Canis lupus familiaris: one gene and its partners. The protein of the gene in region 1 interacts with the protein of each later gene in a biochemical or structural test. Links are inferred from orthologs where the notes say so. Each region holds a gene or a part of one and is shown in the gene's direction. Other genes may lie near its edges. The genes, in order: GOPC, CRHR1, SSTR5 and RPS6KA1.

Region 1 (4,161 bases):
TCAACAATTTTTGCCCGTCAAGTTAGCCATCTCATTGGCTATCCCAACTTGCATTTCAGCCTCTTAGTTGGTCACGTGGCCACCTCTTGTGAAACTGGAGTTGAAAATGGAATTGGGTGCCAACCACTGGCATATTTTTTCCTATTGCTCTTATGAGCATTTTTTTCTGCCATTGAACATTTTGTAATGTTTGTATAATATAAATGTATTATATATACATTTTCCATAAGTAACCTTTGCCCTCTTAATATAAGTAGAAAAATTTTTTAAGTCTCATTTCAGCTTAATCTCGTACTTGTTAAGTGTGCAAGTATGTGCCAGACACTTGGTTGACCATAGGGGACACAGCAGTAAGATAGATATAGCTTGGGAGAGGCAGGAAATGAAATGAGGATGATGATAGTCATACATTTTTAAATTTTACTTGTTAGAATTTATTTAAATGAATATTTCCATTCTCCTTAAATCTTTTAAATTCAGAAATTCTATGAATCTAAGTTAGTAACCTTGTTCTCTTTAACTGAAATGAGTCAGATTTCTCACTGCTTTTTTGGGATATTTGATGTTTACGTTGAGAAACAGTGTATACATTTTCACTAGAAAAGAGTTTACTTGAAGTTTTAATGTTAGATCTGAAGCAGGGTGCTGTAGTAGAAGGCACTGAACCAGGTGAGCTGACTAATTTGGTAAAACAAAAAGTTTTAATCTAACACTGTGTAGTTACTGTAGGTTATGGATTTGCAAATATATTTGTTCTAATGAACTTTACCCAAATGATATTCAACGTATGGGAGTTTTCCTTATAATGATTATACCACTAGATAAATTCATTTGTTTGATATTTTTCTAATTATCAAACTTTTTTCTTATATCTTAAGTCTGTCCCCTCTGTGGAGGAGCTGGTAAGTATGTTGTTTCTGTTTGGCTTTAATACGTTACGCTGAAGTGTTCTTATTGTCTTATTTGCATATTATATGTTGTCACTTTGTATTTGGATGTGATGTTCATGATGATAGTTTTTTAATCTTCCAGTACCTGAAAAGTTCAGTTGGTGGCCCATTGCTCTTTTCTCAGTACACGTTGTGAAAGATTTTTCTTTTGTTTGTGATTTATAACCATTATTTACAGAGCCCATCCATTTTTGACAACTTTTAAGCCTTGTAACTTGTTGAAACCTCTACTTCAAAAGAGCAATTGGTTTTCCCACTTGAGTATTTTGAAGATATATTAAGAACACCTAGCTTTTTTCTCTTTTTCTATTTGAACTTATCCCCAGAGAAAGAATGTGCATGTTGGTTTCGTATTCATCTTCTGCATGTGTCACAACTTTTTAGCAGTCTTGGAATAATTGTGTGGCCTTTGAAACAACTGAATTTTGAAACTTTTTGCCAGAACTTATTTTAGAAAATAACAATGTATAAATTCTTAATATTTTCCTCACTATGCTAACCTAATCAGGTTCCAGTTTGTCTGATGGCTTTATTTCTTTTGAAAATACACTGTTTGGCTCTCTAAATACAAAATGAGCTTCTTGCTTATTACCTAATAAATGGGCTAACTAAAGATTCATATTTTTTTTCTTTAAAAACTAAAAAGATTAACTTCAGTTTTCTTAGTCCTATTCATGTTTGCGAATGTTATTTTCAGGCCTGACAGTTTGTCAGAATCATTAGGTGTTTGAATCATGAAAGCAAAGTGGTGACTTAATATGTGTTTTGTAAATTCCATAAATACTGTATAAATAGGTTATCAGGGCAATTGTACATAGACAAATATCAATGTAAAGTTTATTTAGCCCATAAACCAAAGAATACTTGGTCTTCTGGAACTTTTTTTCTGAAACAAATAGCATTAACTTCAGTAAATGTCATAAGAAAGCTTATTGTTCATGTTATCTAAACTGTGGAGTTTTTTTGGAACTGATTCTTGCCTTTCAAGAAATATGCTCTGAAATAAATTGCAATTTTAATAATTCTAAAGTTGTAAAAGGAGGATTCTAGATTATTCTTCAGATTCTTGAAAAACAGTAATCAAAGAGGCAGTAAATATATCTACCATTTGGTAATGACTCATTTTAGCTTGTATATTATTTTTTTGTGTTTAAGACTGTGGTACTCACTGCCTTATATTTGAATATGTCATATATTGATGTTTTAGTGTATCATTTATTGATATACTATTGAGAAAACAGTAGACCAAAGCAGACATTAGATTAGTACCAAAGTATATTCCAGAATTGTTAGAGGTTTGTTTGAATTTGTTTCTCAGCTTACTACCCAGAATAAAAAGGGAAATAATTACAATAATCAGTACCCATACAAATAGAAACAGTATCATTTGTCGTTTGCTCAAGAGAAGCATTTTTTTCTGGTGCTGAGCAAGACCTTTATTTAAGTCTCACAAAGGGGACAGGGTGAACAGTTTCTTCCACATCTCATCAACAGATACAACCACATTTACACAGGATTTATAGATTCTGTTTATCAGTAAATCGGTAAAAGCAGTTCTATAAGGCAGTAAAAACATTTCTACTCAGAATAAATGGAAGTTTACAGTGTTTTGTTAATCCAAAAACAACACTTAAAATATCTATCAGGGCCCTTATTCAACTCTTGGAAGAGTTTTATTTGGCCACAGAGCTTTTGTGTATTTGAGTTTGACTGCCTTTAGGCAGGGATTTTGTACCTTCCATTTTCCACTCGACTTTGTCTTGTATTGGTCTGTTTTGTGCTTGGGTCCCTGAAGGCATTTACATTGGTCACCCCTGAGTTGTAGGAGTAGACATATTGTACTTTATACTTTTAAGGTAAATTGAACATTATTTCTCATATGTAAGCTTGTGATAAAAATTGGATGGCAAAGATCTTGAGGTTTTATACTCTAGCTAACACCTGTAATTCACATATATAGACTCTCTACCAAGTAGAGCATTCTTTTATGAGAATTAAAAATGGATGTCCATCCTACCTCCTAGAAGGCAGGTAGGGAGGGCCCTGTTTTCCTCCACAAACATTTATTTTACTTCATTCACTTTGACATAGGGATAGATGAATCACATCCCCAAAATCAGTGATAATCTGTACCATAGATATGGTCATGCAGAGAAATTTTTTAATGTATAAATTTTTCAGTACGTTTGTTACCAGCATTTTTCCATTACCATCAAACATTCTTTAAAAAAAAATTAGAGTATCTGTTCTAATTTAAGCAGTTTAAGTTTCTGGTAGTCCTCTAAGGTAAATTAACCATGGAATCTATGTAAGTGAAGAATTTTGACTTGTTTATAGAATTATTGCTTTAAAGTTAATTAAGTGTTTGGATACAGCCACCAGAGTGATTTTTTTTTTATTTTAGTCTAGTTTCTTGAGTCATTTTTAGAAAATAAATAGGGAGAAGATTCAGTTATTCATTGCAACCACTCCTATTAGTGTATGATGACATAAGCTTAGAAAATACTAATTATTTTAGTATCCTCAGTGTCAGAGTACCCCAAGGCATGAAATTATCTTATGTGGAAGTGGTCCCAACACCTTCTGGTACTAGTTAAAAAGAACTGGATCCAAATCTTTGTATGCTCCATTTTATAGAAATGGTAACTTTTATCATATGCTTTCATTGTTGGTATTGTAACAGACTGTGCGCTTTTATGTATTTTGAGAAACATGGTATGTTGCTAAAAAGCCTTAAAAAAGTATTTTCATTACATTGTGCGTGGGTTTTGTTTTTGTTTTTGTTTTTGTGTTTTAAATAGGAGAGAGAGCTGGAAGCAAACAAAAAAGAAAAAATGAAAGAAGCTCAACTTGAAGCTGAAGTGAAGTTGTTGAGAAAAGAGAATGAAGCCCTTCGTAGACATATAGCTGTTCTCCAGGCTGAAGTTTATGGGGCAAGACTGGCTGCCAAGTACTTGGATAAGGAACTGGCAGGAAGGTGTGTAAAAAATGAGTGCCTTGTATTCTTAAGTAGCTAGATATTTAGTGAGGTTGACTCTTACCTCTTATGGTAAATGAAACATTAATCTTTATCTTAAGAGTTATTTTATAGGGCAGCCAGGGTGGCTCAGCGGTTTAGCACCGCCTTCAGCCCAAGGCGTGATCCTGGAGACCCAGGATCGAGTTCCTGCGTCAGCCTTCCTTCATGGAGCTTGCTTCTCCCTCTGCCTGT
Region 2 (4,161 bases), on another chromosome or scaffold:
GTCATCTTCATCTACTTCAACTCCTTCCTAGAATCCTTCCAGGTACTGCCACCCACCCCTCACTCTGGCCCTGGCTGTGCTCTGCACTTGCTTGGGTGGGGATTCTTTCAGACAAGGGTCTGGAGGGGTGGAGGCTGTGGAGAGGAAGGGGGTGGCCCGGAGGCTAGGTGGGGCCATACCTGTCCCTGTGCCTTGACCCGCCTTCTCTGTCCACCCCAGGGTTTCTTTGTGTCTGTATTCTACTGTTTCCTCAACAGTGAGGTAAGGATGCCGGGGCCCCAGAGCTCAGGATGGTGGGGGGTGGGGGACTTCTGGGACCTGAGATTGTCTATAGCCTCCTCCTGCCCTCCACATGCCAGCTCCTCCTCCCTGCCCCCAGGTCCCTAATGAGGATGCAGCCAGGAGCCCCAGGAGGGCCCCTGACACCTGCCCACACTGCTCCTATAGTGGCAAGCCCACTGCTTTGCTCCCATAGGCAGTTGGCACAGGGAGTCAGAAGTCAGGGCTTCAGTCCCATCGATGAGTCTGTGAAAATGCTTGTTGAAAACAGGAAGGGCTAAGCCCTTGGGCAGGGCATGCATATGTGCTGAAGGTAGGAATTCTTTGTGGCAAAGGCCATCGGTGCCTCTGTGTGGATGGGAAAAAGTCTTCTCTTCTCAGAATACTTGCAAAAATCATCCTAACAAATAGGCAAATAATGTTGATGACATGCATGGCACCTCCTCCTGTGTGGCCCCCTTTGCGTTTCACACCTGCGTACTGCACGCCTGCAGACTGCTCACGTGTACTGCTGCTTGTGGCAGCCCTAGGGGATGGAAGGGAGTCCTGAGATCCAGGCTCAGACACCATGCTCTGCTCTGTGCCCACAGGTCCGCTCTGCCATCCGGAAGAGGTGGCATCGATGGCAGGACAAGCACTCGATCCGTGCCCGCGTGGCCCGCGCCATGTCCATCCCCACCTCTCCCACCCGTGTCAGCTTCCACAGTATCAAGCAGTCCACGGCAGTCTGAGCTGGAGGGCCACGGAGCGGAAGATGGTCTCCAGGCTTGGCCAGCTGCCCTATCTATGGAGGGGACCAAATCCTTCTCACAATCTGTATCCCCAGAAGCATCTGGCACTGACAGCGTGGGCCCCACCCCACCCCCCCGGCCCCGGAATGAGCAGGAGTTCTAGGCCTATGAGAGCAGCCATAGTCTGGGCCATGGGATGAATGGGAAATAACCTATAGGATTGGGCTGGGCCCAGGGCCTCTGGCTCCCTTGTGCCCCAAGTCCTCCCCGGAGATGGAATGAGAATGGAGTGGAGATGGCCAGCCAGAAAATCCAAGGCAGCACAGAGGTCCTTCCAAGAGGCGTCTTCTCCCAGAGCACAAGATGGCCAGCCTCCTGGAGACCTGGGGCCTGTCCTCAGCAACTGCAAGGCACCAATTGCTGCCCTAGGAGCATCATGGGAAACTCCTGTGACAGCATCCCAACCACCGTGATGATGCCTCTGGGTGTTGGCAATGCCTTCTAATACCAGTGGGAACCAAAGCCAGGTCACCAGAAAGCCCTGGCCATGTCATTAGAAACCAGGTGACATCATCAGACAGTAGGCCACACCACAAGAAATCCTCCCAAGCCACCATAATTTCATCTGGCACTGTGGCACTGCCATCAGAAATGCCCTGTCTCGCTGCCTTGTACCCTTGGACCTTTATGCCCTGCAGGCCACTCAGCCCCCCGCCCCGGTCCTTAACCACCCACAATACCCACACCCTGATGTGTCACCTCCTGCCCCTGGTGTCTCCCCCTGTGTGGGAAGTGGGGGTTGGAAGGAGATGGAGTGTCCTGTGAGCAAGAACCAGGGTGTGCCCCAGCCAAAGCCAGTCTCCCTTTTAGAGAACAGAGAATGCTCTGGGCCATCCTGCCTGCTGGTGTCAGTGGTCTGGCATCTGGGGCAGCCTCTCTACTGGGTACAGGGGGTTTCTGGTGCCTGGATGACCTCTGGAGCAGCATGATTAGCTAAGCAAAGATAGAAGGGGCAGGGGACTTGGATCCTCTCTGCCTGAGTGTCCTGGAGCAAGACAACTGGTTCTCGGGGCAATCAGCAGCCCCCACTGGACCCTCCTGTGTCCAGAGTACTGGGCCACTGGAGCCAGGCCTTGGGAGATAAGGTGTCAGCTGTGAGGGGGTGGCTGCTGTAAATAATAATATTTATCTTTTCAACCAGCATCTGTGAAGGTCTGGACTATGCGGGGTTGGGTGGGAAGGGCACAGCAGAGAAATGGAGGCCACTTTTCAGTCTGGGGCCAGCCAGCCTGTGGCTGGGAAACCTGACACCATTCACACCCATCCCGATGGGGTGCTAGGTGAGCCACTGGGGGCATGGGCCTGCGGACGCAGCTGACAAGGACGGCTCTTAAAAGGGATGAGTCATAGGGAGAGAAGGGCCACAGGTGAGCAGTGCTGGCCAAGGACACTAGAGGGGTCAGGGCCCATGGCGACAGCTCTAGCCAAGGTGTGGCAATGGGACCAGGCAGGAATGTCTCCCAGCCCCAAGGGAAGGGCCAAGCTGGAAGCAGGAAGTAGAGTTAAGGAGGCCTTGACACTGTCTCAGCTTGAGAGCCCCAGAAACAGAGCCAGAGACAAGGTTTCCAGAACCAAGTAGGGAAGGGGAGCACGGGGAGCGGGTGGGGGCGGGAGGCCAGGCCAGGGAGGCGGCCGGAGCAGGGGTGCCCACACCACAGCCACTACTAGGGGCAGCTGGAGCATAATCCTACTGCAGAAGCCCGAGGGGGCATCCCCGCCTTCAGCCCACCTGAGGGGCCACAGGGGAGGAAGGCTGCCCCCGGGGGTAGGGAGCACAGGGGCCACATGACAACAGAGACACAGAGAGAGAGATACACACTGAGGGAGCGTGCACAGGCACAGCAGGGTGTGGTGGGAGGCAGCCTGAGGGCAGGAGAGGGGGTGGGACGTGGAAACTCCACCCTGGCACACAGGGACCAGGGACTCGGGGAGGGGACCAGAGGCACCAGGACAGAGACAGGCTGATGGCCCCAGGAAGGGACCAGAAGTGCCTGAGGAATCTCAAACGGGCCACAATTGAGGCATCTTTCTCAACTGTTATTCGCCCAGTGAAGAAGTGAGAAAGCAAGGCTTCTCCTGTACGAGTTGGGCTGTGGGGACAGGGCTCCCCAAGGACAGAGCAGCCTGGGAGGAGGAGGAGAGGACATTGTAAGGAGGTTGCTTGGACAAGAGGTCCTGGGTGGGGGGCAAGCTGAGGCAGTGTCCCTTCTGCTTGTGCCTCCTTCCAAGCACCTACTGTGCATTCGAAACTGCCAGGCCCAGCACAAGGCGGGGAGATGAGTAGCCCCCCGAGATGAGTGCCAGCAGCCAACTGCAAAGCCTGGAGCTGCCGGGTCTTGAAAGCCATCAGAGGACACCTCCAGGACGGGGCTGACAGTCATCAGAGGAGCTCCTGGGGGAAGTGGGGGGCAGGCAGGGGCTGGTCCAGATGAGCCTCAGGACACCTCCCATTCAGAGACTGTAAGGGAGGAGGGGCTGCTTCAGGAACATCTGGGCCCCAGAGAACTGTAACTCCTCTGCGGGGGTGGGGGAGGGCAGGTGCCCAGGGTATAAGCCTGTCACAGCCCAGGGCTCAGGAAGCAGGGTGAAGGCAGGCCCCCAGATGGGGTTTCTGAGGGTCATTGTTCCCTGAGGTTCAGCCTGAGGGTATAAGGGATGGATACACATGCCACTGTGCTGGGGCAGAGGCCTGGCAACCACAGGGGGAGGGGGTCACTGCAGGACAGACCGCTCCCTCAAGCCTGGAGGCCACAGTCCCCTGGAGTACCCCATCCGAGCCCGTTTCTCCTTGGGACCCTCCTTCATGGGCACAGATCCCCAGGGGAGGAAAATCCCCACTGTGTGGTTTCCATTTCGGGCTCCTCCACCTCTAAGTGTGATGACAGGCCCCTGCCCTGGGGTCCTCAGCATCCCCTTCAGGCCTCCTCAGTCCTCCTGCTGCTGCTGGGTCAGATGCCCTAGGATAGGGCAGGGGAGGGAGCCAGATGTGGGAAAACATGTGCTAAGGAGGCAGGGAGGTTTTAGAATCCAGGTAATAACACCTTAATTGTGGGCATTTGTAAACTGCTTTGCAATCTGTATAATCCTTTAT
Region 3 (3,755 bases), on another chromosome or scaffold:
TTTAAGTCCAAAGGATTTTTCACACCCAAGAGTTGTAACTTTCAAAAATACACACTTGTTCATTTTACTTCTTAGGCAGCCAAATTTATATCATGATATTTTTATTCGTGCCTTATTGAGGATCCTAAACATATTTATTTATTTTTAAACATATTTATTTAAATAGATCTTAAACATACTTGTCGATTCCTATTACAAGTAGGAACGAGCTATAGCCACTGACCCACCTCCCCATCGCTGGTGCCCTGGGTCGCATCTCCTAGTGTCCCATCACCGAGTGACCTGAGCGGTCGGAGAGTGTCCGCCCAGAGGAGCCGAGGGCACTGACCTTATTCTGAGTCCCCTCCCCCCCCGCCCCCGCTCATCTCCTGGGTCCTGACCAGTAGCCACTGGGGGTGCGCTCCGCTCCGACGTGCCCGGGGGGCCAGCCAGGCGGGGCTCAGGGGTCCCCTGTGCTGCGTGCCCACCGAGGCTCCATCCCCGTCCTCTCCCTCTCGGCTTCCGAGATGCTTGTCTTCTCCTGAGCATCATCACTTGCGTGAACCTTCTCAGACACGCGGAGAAGTACTGATGCTGCGTAAGGGGACATGTGTGCCCATGACCTTGACCTGAGGAGGTTAACGTTCTCTGCTCTTTCTCCATGAAACCCCGCACACGCCCCTTCCCGGTAGCCAGCCCCCCGCCCCCACACGCATTTCCTCCCGACTTGCGGCCCGGGCGTCATTCCATGTGTCCTGTGTGTCCGATGCTGGCTTACGGCTTGTGTGGAGGACCGCCGTCTGCCTGGGCTGCGGAGGTGACGGGTGGGAGCAGGCCCTTGCGGGTGTGGTGGTGGGACCCCGAGCTGTTTCCCACGTTGTGTCCTGGGCTGGGGACATCGCCTGTAGCGGCTGCTCTGGGGGCCGGTAAGCAAGTCCCCCGGGCATCTGCGGGCTCTGCGGGGCTCTCTGGGGATGGCGCTCCTGAGAGCCTGGTGGACGCTGGCAGGGCCCGGGCAGCCTGAGTGTGGCTCCTCAGCCGTGCGGAAGGCCTGGCGCGCTACCCGGGCTCCAGGAGGCCCCCAGGACAGTGGGGCTCGGCAGGTGTACCTGCGCGTCCAGGGGGGTGAGGGGGGGCTTGGCGGGTGGGCCGCCGTCCTTACTTCCTATCACCACCCCCTCCTTCCCCACCCGTCCTGGCGATGACACCCCGAGGCCCCCAGAGGAGACCCTGGTGGCCGAGGCAGGTGGAGGCTGGGCGGGGGCCGTGCTGGAGCAGCCAGGGCCGTAGGGACGCCGTCGGGGGACCCACGGAGGATACGGCGCTGTCCCTCTGCTCCTTCCTCTCTGCGCTTGTTTTCCAAACAATTTGCTTAATGTGACTCCCGGCCGAGCTGGACATGAGTAATCGTGTTTACCCGCCGTGGGGCGATCCCGTGCCTTCCTGGGGCGGGCGGGGCCGCGGGGAGGAAGCACCCTGGCCCGTTAACCGCTCCCGTCCTCCCTTTTCTCTGCAGAGAGGACGCGCCGCGCCTGCGCCCGCCCTGCCCGGCCCGCAGCGGCCGCGATGGAGCCCCTGTTCCCGGCGCCCACGCTGGCCGGCTGGAACGCCTCCTCGGCGGCCCCCGGAGGCGGCGGCGACAACGGGACGCAGGCGGGGTTGGCGCCCTCGCCAGGGGCCCGAGCGGTGGTGGTGCCGGTGCTGTACCTGCTGGTGTGTGCGGCGGGGCTGGGTGGCAACGCGCTGGTCATCTACGTGGTGCTGCGGCACGCCAAGATGAAGACGGTCACCAACATCTACATCCTCAACCTGGCCGTGGCCGACGTGCTGCTCATGCTGGGGCTGCCCTTCCTGGCCACACAGAACGCCGTCTCCTACTGGCCCTTCGGCCCCGTCCTGTGCCGCCTGGTCATGACGCTGGACGGCATCAACCAGTTCACCAGCATCTTCTGCCTGACGGTCATGAGCGTGGACCGCTACCTGGCCGTGGTCCACCCCATCCGCTCCACCCGCTGGCGCCGCCCCAGGGTGGCCAAGCTGGCCAGTGCCGCCGTCTGGGCCTTCTCGCTGCTCATGTCCCTGCCGCTGGTGGTCTTCGCGGACATCCAGGAGGGCTGGAACACCTGCAACCTCAGCTGGCCCGAGCCCGTGGGCCTGTGGGGCGCCGTGTTCATCATCTACACGTCCGTGCTGGGCTTCTTCGGGCCGCTGCTGGTCATCTGCCTCTGTTACCTGCTCATCGTGGTCAAGGTGAAGGCGTCCGGCGTGCGCGTGGGCGCCACGCGGCGGCGCTCGGAGCGCAAGGTGACCCGCATGGTGGTGGTGGTGGTGGTGGTGTTTGTGGGCTGCTGGCTGCCCTTCTTCATCGTCAACATCGTCAACCTGGCCTTCGTCCTGCCCGAGGAGCCCGCCTCTGCCGGCGCCTACTTCTTCGTGGTCATCCTGTCCTACGCCAACAGCTGCGCCAACCCTGTGCTCTATGGCTTCCTCTCTGACAACTTCCGCCAAAGCTTCCGGAAGGTTCTGTGCCTCCGCAAGGGCTACGGCGCCGAGGACGCAGAGGCCACAGAGCCACAGCCCGACAAGAGCAGCCGGCTGCAGGAGGCCATGCTGCCCGCACGCGGCTCCGAGGCCAACGGGCTCATGCAGACCAGCCGGCTGTGAGGGCCGCGGGCGCCTGGCCCCGGGTGGCCCCTGCCCGGCTCGGTCCGGATTGCCCGCCGAGGTGCCCCCCTGCCGCAGCCTGGCTGCTCCATGGAGTGTGAGGACCAGTTGTCTGGGTCGAGACCGTGGGTGGCCCTGCAGTGACAGGCTGTCTCTGCCACCTGCCTGTTCTCGCCGCAGAGGCCGGCTTCAGGGATGGAGGGAGTGGGCGGGAGAGGACGGGTGTCCCAGGCGGGGCTCAGGGCGTTGGTGGCCTGCTACCCTGCCCCCAGCCTGTGCTAGCTGGCCAGGCCGGGGAGTGACCACTGGTGTGAGCTGGTGCCGCCTGCCCTGACTCTGCCCTCCTGTCCCGGTGCCTCCTCACATCCGCCCTGCATGGCCCAGTCCAGTGTGAGTCCGTGACGACAGCTGACCGCACGGGGCTCTGGCCTTGCCCCCAGCGCTCCTGGGACCTGGAGCCGATGGCGGGAGCTGGCTGGTGTGAAGGGGCAAGGCTGTGGGCGGGCGGGGATCCCAGGGCAGACGTCTGGGGCTGCAGAGCTCCGTTACCATGGAGACCCCACAGTCAGGGCTGAGGGGGCAACGAGGGGTGGGCCGGACGCCGAGGGCTCCCTGGTGGGCGTGGGTTGGGGGGGCCGCCGGCAAAGTGGCTGAATCAGGGGTCCGGGGGACACAGGTGTCCAGGGGGCCCTGGCAGAGGGTCCTAGGGCCTCGGAGAGGCCGCCCTGGGGAGGGCCGGGCCCCTACAGCCCCCTCTTCTGCTTCCGCCGGGGGCTCTGGCCTGGCGAGGGTGGGAGACAGAGCAGAGGGAGCGGCTCCCAATGCAATAGCAGCCCTGGGAAGGCAGCGCCGTCCGGGGCACTCAACGCCAGCGAATGCCAGGCCCGGCCTCCCGCCCTGGGAGCCCCAGTGTCTCCCGCCACCCCACCTGCTGGGGTTCCCTGTGCCTTGGGGCTCTCTCCAGGTCTGGAAGGAGGAGGACCCGGATGTGGGGGCTCGCTCGGCCCACGTGCACCCACCCCGCTGCCGGTCTGGACAGCGTGCCTGCTGTCGCCCCAGCTCACACCCCCGCGTCTGCCCAGAGCAGGACCTCCGGCCCGCAGGAGGCCAGA
Region 4 (4,925 bases), on another chromosome or scaffold:
CCTGGGGTCATGGGCTTGGGTCTATAATGTCCCCTCCTCAGCAGGGGAGCCTGACCCATCTTCTGTCCCTCCTCTCTGCAGAGGGGAAGTGAGAAGGAGGGGGTCAGGGACCCTGCCTTCTGGGCCAGGAAGGCTGAAAAAGCAGAAGTAGAGGAATAACGGGGCCCTTTGGCCACCGGCTTGAGCCCCACCATGCAGACCCCGGCAGATTTCCCCAGGGGTGAGAGAGACACACTCCCCTATCCCAGAAAGGTGAGCAGAGGGTTGGTCTGCCTCCAGCAATGTCTTGTCACCATGGCCTTGGGCAAGGAATGGGTTTGGGAGTGGCTCTGTCCCCTGGGGTTTCCGGGTGACTGCTTCTGTCCCCAGGGAGTGTTCTCAGACGCAGGCAAGCAGAGGCTCAAACCTCAGGGCGGGGTGGGCAAGGGTTGCTGTGTGGCCTTGGCTCACCTCAATCCCTATGTCCCACCCAGGGTTATGCTCAGGGGCCTGAAGAGCCTGTAGCTTCTTATGACTGTAGCTTTTGTGGCTCTCTGAGGTCCCCTGAAGATGGGGCCGTGTCTGTCGGGTCCTAGACCTAGAATGGGAAGTCCCTGGACTGATCCCGGTACTGAGGGAGGGGATGGGCTTGGATGGGCAGGGCATGGCTCTCGCTGACTTACCTGCTCACCCTTTCCTGGCACTTGAGGCCTGCTGACCCCATGCCAGGCAGTAACTAGGGGAAGGGTTTGAGTGTCACTGGCTCTGTCACTGGTCCATTCTCAGGCTGGGTGAGTCACGGTCCTCTGGCCCTTGGTTTCCTGTATCTGAAATGGGGATAACAGATTTGGGAAACCTGGATCAGAGTCAAAGCCATCAGACTGCATTCTCAGCCCACTGTGTTAGTCCTGGGGCCTCTCCAGGCCCTGGCATGGGATGAAACCTCAGAGGTGTGTCTGCCATGAATACTGGGCTGCTCTCTAAGATGCAGGATGTTTGCAGGTGATATCCCCTCACCTCTTCCCCCACCCCACCTCCCAGAAGACTAGCAAGAACCCAGAGCTCTGCCCTTGAGTTCCGGGCCTGGCTTTCTGTGCACTGGCCTGGGTATCTGTCAGTCTACTTGGGCCTTACTGACTGGCTTTCTCTTTCTGTGTCCCACCTGCCTCTGTTGTCGGGTTCCTGTCTCTTGCCACTTGATGAGTGCCTGTCTTCACCTGTTGGGTACATGTCACGTGTTGGGTGCCTGTTGGGTGGTGTCCCCTTCTGTCTCTGCCTGTTGAGTACATGTCCCCATCTGTCTCCACTTGTTGGATGCAAACCCCCATCTGCCTCTGCCTGTTGGGTCCCCATCTGTCTCTGCCTGTTGAGTTCACGTCCCCTTCTGTCTCTGCCTGTTGGATATATGCCCCATGCACCTCTACCTGTCAGGTATGAGTTCCCTCCTGCCTCTGTTTCGGTGGGTACATGTCCCCATCTGTCTCTGATCATTGGGTAAGTGTTCTTCCTACCTCCCTTTGCTGGGTATGTGTCCCTATCCATCCTTGCCTGGTGGGCATGTGTACCCTCCCACCTCTGCCTGTTGGATGCCTACCTTGGTCTGTCTTTACCTGTTGATGCCTGCCTCTATCTGTTGGGTGTCCCTCTTTATCTGCCTCTGCATGTTAGATGCCAGTCTTTGCCTGTTGGGTACCTGTCTCCCCCTCAGCAGCTGGAGTGGCATGGGGCTCTCCCTTTGTAGGCCCACAGGGAGGATGGGGGAAGGGGGAGGGCCGGAGGGCAGCACTCAGGCAACGGGGAGGGGGGCAAAAGAGAGGAAGGGAACGTGGTAAGATTGTAGGCCTGGAGCTGGGAAACCACAGGCCCTAAGTGATTGGCGGTGCTGAGCTGGGCCCAGCCCCCGCCCTCACCCTGCACATCCGCCTTGGGCCCGGCCACCTCGGAGGCAGCCCCGGACGCTGCCTGCTCCTGCCATGGTGCCTTGGCCCTGCCGGGCGAATGGAGCAGGATCCCAAGCCGCCCCGCCTGCGGCTCTGGGCCCTGCTCCCCTGGCTGCCCAGGAAGCAGCGGCCCAGGACCAGCCAGACCTCTTTGCCTGCCCCTGGCCCTGGCTCTGGCCCCAGGCGGGACTTGGTGAGTGTGCCCAGATGTGTGGTCCTGGCCCAGCTGTGGTCCTTGGAGCAGGTGCCTGGGCAGCTAGTTTGGCCTTAGTTGGCTTCCGGCTCTCCTAGCCCAGGCCTGGCCCTACTGGACAACTGGACCCTGCCCAGACTTGCTTCCTGGGGAAGTGAGGAAGCACTTCAGGGCTCCAGGGCAATCCCGGCAGATTGGAGGGAGGGCAGAAGGGTCCTAGAACAACTAGGACCAGCAACGGATTTTTAGAAAACTCCTAGAAGGAAGTTTCAAAGAGTGGATCATGGAGTCTCGGCCTTAGCTCCTGTCCACCCCTGACTGGCACTTACTGGGTTGGTGGGGGTGGTCTCTAGTGACTCTTGAGTGTCTGTGCATCTGAGCACTGTCCTTCTGGCCAAGGATCCTCTCATCCATTCTGACCCGGAACAAAAGCCTGGCTCTACCTCCCCGGTATGAGAATACACACTACTTCCTATTGTGGCAAAACTAACACCTTTGCAGCAGGGGGAGGGGAGTCCCACAGGCAGGACCTGGGCTGTGCCTGGGTATCCCTTTGGGTCTCACCAGGTCAGAGCAGCAGGGGCAGTAGGAGCAGTGCCTCCCCCTGACTCAGCACCTTGGTAGTTTGACCATCCCTGGCCCTTGAGGCCCTTTTGGTATTGATGAACCAGCAGGCTGGCCCCATCAGTATGGCCATCTGGTATGGCTAACAGGGCCCTGCCTCCAGGAGGAGTAGGCTAGGATGGGGACCATATTCCCTGCTCACCTGGATGGGACAACCATACTCACCAGCTCTGTTCCTCCATCAGGATGAGGGCGTCCTAAAGGAGATCTCCATCACGCACCATGTCAAGGCTGGCTCTGAGAAGGCCGACCCATCCCATTTTGAGCTGCTCAAGGTTCTGGGCCAGGGATCCTTTGGCAAAGTGAGTCCTGAGCCCAAACTGGGAGGGCAACTCATGTCAGAGGTGGGGGTTAGGGGTCACTTTGGGGTTCAGGATCAGAGGGCAAGGGTTGATGGGTCTGAGGGGAGGGCAGGAGGTCACTCTGGTACCCAGGGAGGCCCGAAGGTCAACCTAGGACTCTGGAAAATTAGAGGTCAACCTAGGACCCAGAGGATAGGAGCTGATAGGCTTAGTCCCCTCCCCAATTTCTCTGCTTTTTCCCATTGCCTTCTCAGGTCTTCCTAGTGCGGAAAATCACCCGACCTGATAGTGGGCACCTGTATGCCATGAAGGTACTAAAGAAGGCAACGCTGAAAGGTGAGTGAAGGTCACCTCCCCAAGCAGAGCCGAACTGGGCACAGGAGATGGGACTAGTGGGATGGGCAGGGTGCCAAGGGCTCTACTCTGGGCACTGCCGTGAGATGGGAGGGACACATGAAAGAGAGAGCCCTTCTTGGCCAGGGCTTGGGGATGACTGTTTTGAGGGGCTAGATTATCTGTGACTGCGTTTCTCTTCTGGCCAGTGCGTGACCGCGTTCGGACCAAGATGGAGAGAGACATCCTAGCAGATGTGAACCACCCATTTGTGGTGAAGCTGCACTATGGTGAGATCACAGACCCTACTTGAACTCCCACCCGACCTACCAGCCTTTGCCCTTGCCTGTGGGCTACTACCTTTCCCCTAGGTCACCCCTACCCCAGCAGACAAAGGGAGCTTAGGGTAGAGGGGCAGGGCCCAGGGCCCAGCTGGCTCCACCATTGCCTTTTCCCTCTCCCCAGCCTTCCAGACGGAGGGAAAGCTCTATCTTATCCTGGACTTCCTGCGTGGTGGAGACCTCTTTACCCGGCTCTCTAAAGAGGTAAGCTGACACTTGACTGCCATTGGGCCCCGGATTGGAGCTGGAGGGACAACGAGACCTCTTGTCCCAGGGCTCAGTGAAGAACATGTCCAGTGTGGCTTGGACTTGGGACCACTCAGGCTTGCCCCGCAGACCCGACCTAGGAACCCACTCTGGGACAGAGCGTACACCCTGGCAAAGCCTCAGAGTTTCTCCCAGGATGGAGGAGGAGGATCAGGCCATGGTTCTGATGCCACTCTGATTCCCAGGAGCTGAGGGTTCTTTCACCTCTGTACCTCCATTCTTCCGAGGTTGCCCTAGGCAGGGCTGTGAGGATGGGAAGAAATCCAAATCTGCCCAGAAATTTAGATATTTTAACATTATGTCCCATGTGTTAACCAAAAGGATTTTAACTGACATAAAAGAATTTGAGCCAGATATTAAAATGGGACCATTAATATAAGTCAAACTTGAGAAGAGAAACACGCTTTTAAAAAAATTTAAATGTTATTTTAGTGTTTGAATAGGTAATACGTTTACATGATTGAAAATAAAAATATTGAGAAGTCTTCCTCCCACCCCATCCCTCTATGCCCCCATAGGTAAACATTTTTATTGATTTCTTGGTTAAGTGCCCCAGGTTTCTTTAGTAATACAAACCATTCTGATACATGTTCTGAATTCCAACCCCCATTTCCTTACAAAAAGTACTACCCTGTATATACTGTTCTGCATCTTGCCTTGTTCGAGATGATGTATCTTAGAGATCAATCCATATCAGAACATGGAGAGACTCCTTGTCCTAGTTTATGGCTGCATAGCACTCCATCATGCACGGGAGAGACAATATATTCCAGTCTTCTGCTCAACCGTTGGGCTCTTTCCAACCCTTTTGCTATTTCCAAGCAGTGTCACAGTGAGTGACTCGTATATTAGTCATTTCATACTCACATGCCTTCATAAAGAGAAGAGTGTATGGCACTGGGGTGTCTAAGGGTCTTCCCCAAGGAAGGACCAGGAAACTGCTAAC

What was found.
Region 2: the proteins of GOPC (region 1) and CRHR1 form a complex in vitro, tested with the Homo sapiens proteins (2 studies listed by BioGRID and IntAct, with this or other methods). The link is inferred for Canis lupus familiaris from reciprocal best matches to the Homo sapiens genes GOPC and CRHR1.
Region 3: the proteins of GOPC (region 1) and SSTR5 form a complex in vitro, tested with the Homo sapiens proteins (2 studies listed by BioGRID and IntAct, with this or other methods). The link is inferred for Canis lupus familiaris from reciprocal best matches to the Homo sapiens genes GOPC and SSTR5.
Region 4: the proteins of GOPC (region 1) and RPS6KA1 interact in a test that uses a peptide from one of them, tested with the Homo sapiens proteins (2 studies listed by BioGRID and IntAct, with this or other methods). The link is inferred for Canis lupus familiaris from reciprocal best matches to the Homo sapiens genes GOPC and RPS6KA1.

The regions. Positions count from the first base shown.
Region 1 is NC_049222.1:58,359,719-58,363,879, reverse strand, and holds part of GOPC (Golgi-associated PDZ and coiled-coil motif-containing protein), read left to right. Parts: intron 1-878; coding exon 879-902; intron 903-3,751; coding exon 3,752-3,927; intron 3,928-4,161.
Region 2 is NC_049230.1:17,152,823-17,156,983, forward strand, and holds part of CRHR1 (corticotropin-releasing factor receptor 1), read left to right. Parts: coding exon 1-42; intron 43-219; coding exon 220-261; intron 262-869; coding exon 870-1,010; 3' UTR 1,011-4,161.
Region 3 is NC_049227.1:40,080,342-40,084,096, reverse strand, and holds SSTR5 (somatostatin receptor type 5), read left to right. Parts: upstream 1-1,539; 5' UTR 1,540-1,545; coding exon 1,546-2,643; 3' UTR 2,644-2,865; downstream 2,866-3,755.
Region 4 is NC_049223.1:72,913,862-72,918,786, reverse strand, and holds the start of RPS6KA1 (ribosomal protein S6 kinase alpha-1), read left to right. Parts: upstream 1-1,891; 5' UTR 1,892-1,977; coding exon 1,978-2,112; exon of another isoform or gene 2,113-2,880; intron 2,881-2,901; exon of another isoform or gene 2,902-2,921; coding exon 2,922-3,038; exon of another isoform or gene 3,039-3,292; coding exon 3,293-3,374; exon of another isoform or gene 3,375-3,580; coding exon 3,581-3,661; exon of another isoform or gene 3,662-3,836; coding exon 3,837-3,916; exon of another isoform or gene 3,917-4,925. UniProt on the Homo sapiens protein: Serine/threonine-protein kinase that acts downstream of ERK (MAPK1/ERK2 and MAPK3/ERK1) signaling and mediates mitogenic and stress-induced activation of the transcription factors CREB1, ETV1/ER81 and NR4A1/NUR77, regulates translation through RPS6 and EIF4B phosphorylation, and mediates cellular proliferation, survival, and differentiation by modulating mTOR signaling and repressing pro-apoptotic function of BAD and DAPK1.